Linked DNA regions of Xenopus tropicalis. The protein of the gene in region 1 interacts with the protein of each later gene in a pairwise test. Links are inferred from orthologs where the notes say so. Each region holds a gene or a part of one and is shown in the gene's direction. Other genes may lie near its edges.

Region 1 (2,808 bases):
GACTCAAGCACCGGAGTATCTAGGCGGCGCATGCGCATATCGCATCTGCAGGGAACGTTCACATCAATGCGCGCTCCACTTGAATCATTCCTTCTCAGGCAAACAAACAAAATCAGATTGAAAAAAAAATGTTGTTCAACACAACATGAATAGATGTGACCATAACAGTAAGAGCAGACAGGAAAACAGATGGACAGATAGGCAGGCAGGTGATTACTTACAATATTAATAACAGGAGCGACGAGCGGAGAGGTTCGGGCGTGCCTGCGCTGCTAGTATGTGTTATCAGGCGCGCCCACACAGACGCACGCCTAGGCTGGGGGGAGGGAAGGTTTCGCATGCGCACAGGAGGGCGCGCGCCGGGGGGGAAGAAGGTTGCGCATGCGCAGTGTAGACAGTGAAGTGGGCATACCACTTCCAAGATGGCCACACCATTCTTTACATGGAGCTCAAACTTTCAAGTAAGATTTTATAAGTTTTTGTTTATCAATTGTAGCACTATTCAATGGTACCATTTATAAATTTTGGCTTGCCTTCTCCTTTAAGTTTTTCATAAGTGGGTCTCGGTTTTGCCATTGGCAGCACGTGTGGTAATATAACTAGGAGCCAAGCTAAAAGAATGATAGAAGAGCTGGATGTGGGGGACATCAAGGACTCATTACAGAACCTGATTCCAAGCCCCATCCCAATAACTGTGTATAATAAAACTACATTCATATTTGCATTCACTCAGATTAGCTTTGGGTTTCAGGGAGGAGTTACTCCAGCTGGCATGCTCTCTACAAAGAACGATTGGCTGATGGGGCAGTGGTTGTGAACTAATAGGTCGAGAGAGCACAAGGGTCAGAGGTAAAGGAGCCTACTGAGACTGGAGGCCACCAGGATATTCCCCAGTATCCCAGCAGGCCAGTCAGTCACTGGGTGGGGGCTGAGGTTCAGTTCCAAAGTGAGCAAGGTTCACATAAGGATATCTTCCTAGCTAAAGAAGGGAAAGTTCTGAACAAGAAGTGCTCTTTTCCTAGCAGTGAGATTCCCGCCATTAACTACAGGGTAGTAAATAAACCCCTGAATTATTGCAATTCATTCCCAGTCTCCCATTTTGATACCCAAAAAATAGGGCCAAACTTGTATTATCCATATATATATATCACCAGGCTGCACCCTGTTGTGTCCTTTCAGATTGAAGACTTGAATTTAAAGATCTTTGACCTCCGTGGCAAGTTTAAAAAGCCAAACCTCAGGAGGGTGCGCCTTTCTGCCGATGCCATGATGCGGGCGCTGTTGGGCACCAAGCACAAAGTCTCTATGGACCTACGGGCTAATCTCAAGCAGGTCAAGCAAACCAAAAAGGATGACGCAGACAAGGTAAGTTATGTGTCCCCAGTTTGCGTGGTGACATCAATTCAGCAATTTTGTCATTGTCTCTATAAATTCTATACAGCAGGCTATTTTACTAGAAAATCCTGTCTTTTAGGATATAAGAGAAGTAGGAGACTGGAGAAAGAACGTTGATGCCCTGAGTGGTATGGAGGGCAGGAAGAAGAAGTTTGAATCCACTGGAGCTGTCCCAGTTTAAGTAGGCATTACTTAATATACTGTTACTTTTATATTTACTAGTACTAATACCATATAATGTCCTGGTATTTTATAGTATTTTTATATTATTAGTCAGCAATATATGTTCCCTACAGTATGGGCAGGGCATGATATCTTGCTAAACAAACCTCTCTTTCTCTGTCTGAAGCAAATAGGAAAAAATACTAAAGCTTCAGACATTTGCTTCCATTAAAAGCAGCAAGAATGATCTCTGTATAATGAGCTAACCCAGGCCTCTGTGCTGCATGTGCTCTCATTCATAAAAAATGACAAACTAAGAGTGATGTTTCCTTTTCCCCTCTACTTAATCCTTTATGGTCACATATGGCTTATTTGGTACCCCATCACTGACCTGCGTAGCTTGGCATGCAACCCAAACCACCAGGAAAGCATGGAATTTATATACATATTGTTCTTTTTAGGAGAGATTTCAAATGGAAGTCACTTCTGGACTGAAACTGGACAATTCTTCTACGTTTGTGTACCAAGGCTGTTACTCAGCAATGGCCAGAGCTGGGACCCTAATAAAGCATCCTGTCAGAGAATATCATGGCTGCCTGTATCTGTTGTTTGAATCCTCATTCTTCTACCCAAATATGTAACTACTGGCAGAGTGAATTATTTCTGTTTCTTGCAGCACAGCTAATTATTTCTTGCCACTGTTCTGTGACGAAGCAACTCATTAAATGATATATTGTAGTTATCAGCTAAGCTATCTTGTCTCAATCACTCAGCCAGTGAGCGTTGTTTAATAAGGGCCTGGCCAAGCCTGACATCTGTCAGAGAGGCATCTGAGCAGGGCCCATACCCAGGCACATAAATTGGCAACTAGAGGGGCAGAACTGGCAGCTTAAATGTCCCTGTGTATGGCCTGCTTAAGGGCAATGTCTCTCAAGGCATATTCTCCACTTGCAAAAGACTGATCCTCTGCTTTCTTTGCTGACTTTAGTATGCATTGGCATGTATGGTATTTATCTATTAGTGCCAGTGGCGTAACTACTGGACCACTGGCCCTGGTACATAATGGAACCCCCCCCCCTACAGCCTGGCCCCTTACCAGAAGAAGTTCCATGTACTCCTCACCTTCGGGCCTCGGCACAGTGATTCTGGCAGGAGTGTGCAGTTACTTCGACAGGCCTAACTGGGGGGTAGTTACGTCACTGGTCAGTGCACACACAAGGCAGATATTAGTGCAAAAAAATGCTTAATTTC
Region 2 (3,636 bases), on another chromosome or scaffold:
CAGTCAATTGGGACAGCAACCCTTACCCTTTTTTATATTTTTGTATTGTATTCTGCTCCAAATGATAAAGAATGGCAAAATGGGGTGGCGGGAAGAAAACTTGCTTTATTTTTCCAGCATTGATTGACACCTTATCTTTGATTTGCAGCCTACAGACCAACAGCAAGATGCGAGGTCCTTCCTCAGCGAGGAAATGATTGCTGGTATGTCCTGTTTCATGGTTTCCTTTTCTATCTCTAGACTATATTATTTTGTGCCAGGTTTAATTACTTTTTGTGAAAACAGAGCATTTGTGCAGGTAGGTGTGTAGGAGTCTGTATGTATGTCTGATTCAGTGTGTATGTCTCCTGTTAGGTGCAGATAATTGCACTTCTTATTCTGCCTGTATGTATGGGCACGTGGGGATGGCTAGATTGATAAATATAAGGCCTCCACCCATGAAAACATCAGTATTTTGTGCATAATGGAGGAAAAGAATACCTAAGAAAATATAAAAAGAACAGGGAAGGAGGTTTTACACAGATATCACACATAATAATACACATTTTTAGCTTTTCATAGTTTCTCCTTGAGGAAGGCATAGGGAAAGGGGAAATAGGCTCATTCATAGTTTCTCCTGAGGAAGGGATAAGGAAAGGGGAAATAAGCTATGTAAATAGAAAAACAAAAAAGAAGATACAAATGGTTCTAGTTATAAAGCACAATCTACATAGGGTTATATACAGACACACATGCAACCTATTAACCCATTGCAGGCACAATACTAACTGCTGATTGTTTGTTGTAAATTTGAGTACCAGGGCAATAAGCTTCATAGAATTATAGGGGATGAGTCATGATGAGAAAATGTTGAACAAATTTCTACCTTAACATCCAGATGCCTGGAAATAAGAGAGAATAATGGACATTATGTAACTGACATGCTGTAGCTTAGAAAAATGCAATGAATTGTGCAAAAATTTGGTGATAATGAAGGAAGGAGGTGATGTGAAGGTTTAATAAATGTAAGAATATAAGGGGTAAAGAATTTCCACTTCTGCCCTCTTATTTTTTCCCCCCCTTTTCACTCTATTTTCTTCATTCCCTTTTCTCCTTAACTCTTTCATCCTTAACACTTTTGTAGATGGGTAGGCATTGAAGGCAATATGGTTTATTGAACAAGAGGGCCAATGACATTTTAGCCTGTCATTAACCTTCAAAGTGGAACAGTTCATGATTTTTGGTGAAAAAGGAACAATGTGTCTTTTAGATTATGAAGTGACTGAGTGAATGATAAACAGTTAAAGTAGGTTGTAAGGTGTGAGATTGAATAAAAGAAGATTGAGTGAAGAATGAAAATTTAAGGTGGGAATGTAGGAAAAGGCTATAATAGGAAAGACAGATAATAAAAGGTATTATTGGATAGAAGGAACATTTTAGGTTCATGCTCCAGTAAAAAGGCAAGTCAAAGATTCATTTGAGATCAATGCACTTAAAATGGTGAAGGAAGGGGATAACCTGGAGTGGCACACAGAAGATTTCTGATTTTTTTTTTATTCTCTGTGCAGAGTTCAAGGCTGCCTTTGACATGTTTGACACTGATGGTGGCGGTGATATCAGCACCAAGGAGTTGGGAACTGTCATGAGGATGTTAGGACAGAACCCAACCAAGGAGGAGTTGGATGCCATCATTGAGGAAGTAGATGAGGATGGTGAGTTTTTAGAAACTTGAATACTTAGTAGGAAATTAATGTGTGACAATAGAGTTGTACTTACACCAAAAGCCATAAGAGAGCCATTTAAGAGAACATGTTTAATGTGTTCTTTTAGTCTGAAGTACCATAGTGCTTGAATCTGTTTTCTTGAGTGATCCCTAAGATGAACCAACAATTCACAATAAGTGAGGTCTGTTGGGATATTGCCAGTTGAATAGTTAACACAGAGTGGTTGTCAAATGGAGGTGTAATTGGTGTTATCTTACAGGCAGCGGCACTATCGACTTTGAGGAGTTCTTAGTCATGATGGTGCGCCAGATGAAAGAGGATGCGCAGGGCAAAAGTGAAGAGGAGTTGGCTGAGTGCTTCCGCATTTTTGACAAGTAAGTCCACCCCTAATTCACCTTATGGGATTTATGTATGCTATGTCTTTCAGTTCATTTTTGTATGTGTGCTAGCACCTAGTGTCTATCTTTGTACTAAATCTCCACCATATTGTGTCCTTTTGTGGCCTCTGACATTTCTCTGCTCTGCAGGAATGCTGATGGGTACATTGATGGCGAGGAGTTAGCTGAAATCCTCCGTTCCTCAGGTGAGAGCATAACAGATGAGGAGATTGAGGAGCTTATGAAAGATGGAGACAAAAACAACGATGGCAAAATTGACTTTGATGGTGAGTTTGCAACCCATTGAAAAAAAATGCATTTGGTATTATTGGCTCTCCACATATACTTAATGCCTATACCTTTATCTTTGTAGAGTTCTTGAAGATGATGGAAGGTGTGCAGTAAGCAGTAGGACATTCCTCTGGAGCGTTGTGACGCCAACCTGTACATTACACTGCGTCTTACTTACATTTCAGGAAGGAGCAAGTCATCCTGCTCTTTTACTGTACCTCCCACAATCCTCCTCGCTTCTGATGTGTACATTACTCTCTATGGCCACCTTGCATCCTGCAGAGAACCTCTTAATCCACTGTTTACTATCAGGCTCTCTACCCTCTTCATCTTCCTGTTTTTCTGACTCATATGTTATTTATAAAAAAAAATTACAGTTACCATTAAAACTCTTAGTGAACCTTTGCTATCTCTGGGCTGCATTCATACTCAGAAGAGGATAGAAACTCCTTTAGATATCTATTTGTGGTGCAAAGCAAATGTAGCAGTATCTTTTTTTGCTCAATGCTCACATAAATAGCAGCATTAAAAAGTTTTGAGACACACTAGCTTATGGCTACCCCATTCCACCCTAGAGGGCTGTCTAGTTTGCCTAATAATAACACAGAAGCTGCCAACCTCATGCTGACACGTAGACACAGTGGAAAGCACTAATATTTTTGCATATCCGTTATTTTCACATTCATACAATTCAGCATGTAAATAAAAAGGGTGATGTATTTTGAGAAGACTTGTAGTGTGGTCATTTCTTATGACAGAACAGTTGTCCCGTTATTGTCAGGTCAGTTAATTAGGTCAAACTATAGTAGGGAGACCTGTATATTTTTAGGCCTGTGGGTTAGATTATGGTACACCCAGTTGTACTGAATGCTATTTATACTCGCAGGAACGAAAGCAACGAAAGGAAAAGATGGTGGTATAATATTAGCATTGCTTTTGAAGCTGCTCTGCCTATATGAACAGGCTTAATTGATATTAAAGGGAAGCCCTCCCAACTGGATATAAAGAAACTGACAGTACCAAAAAACTATAAAACCCCCCTTTCACGGAAAGAATATATTTACAATTTGCCTGTAGGGCAATGAATAGACAGCTGTTCCATCCCCACCCACCAAGGTCTTCTCTCCAGCAAGGACAGCCACTACTCAATATAATAGATTACTACTAGTAGAAGAAAAAATTGGGGTAGAAAATGTGTCCAACGAGAATGTTGTATGGTCTTCTGTATTTAGTGTTATACCCCGGTACAGGCAGACTTTTATATG

Evidence for each region.
Region 2: the proteins of tnni3 (region 1) and tnnc2 interact in binary tests that used the Homo sapiens proteins (3 or more experiments, as listed by UniProt). The two-hybrid records come from large-scale screens. The link is inferred for Xenopus tropicalis from reciprocal best matches to the Homo sapiens genes TNNI3 and TNNC2.

The regions. Positions count from the first base shown.
Region 1 is NC_030683.2:104,561,676-104,564,483, forward strand, and holds the end of tnni3 (troponin I, cardiac muscle), read left to right. Parts: intron 1-1,179; coding exon 1,180-1,365; intron 1,366-1,474; coding exon 1,475-1,576; intron 1,577-2,018; 3' UTR 2,019-2,302; downstream 2,303-2,808. UniProt on the Homo sapiens protein: Troponin I is the inhibitory subunit of troponin, the thin filament regulatory complex which confers calcium-sensitivity to striated muscle actomyosin ATPase activity.
Region 2 is NC_030686.2:19,690,864-19,694,499, reverse strand, and holds the end of tnnc2 (troponin C, skeletal muscle), read left to right. Parts: intron 1-148; coding exon 149-203; intron 204-1,547; coding exon 1,548-1,691; intron 1,692-1,962; coding exon 1,963-2,077; intron 2,078-2,230; coding exon 2,231-2,367; intron 2,368-2,453; coding exon 2,454-2,485; 3' UTR 2,486-3,096; downstream 3,097-3,636. UniProt on the Homo sapiens protein: Troponin is the central regulatory protein of striated muscle contraction. Tn consists of three components: Tn-I which is the inhibitor of actomyosin ATPase, Tn-T which contains the binding site for tropomyosin and Tn-C.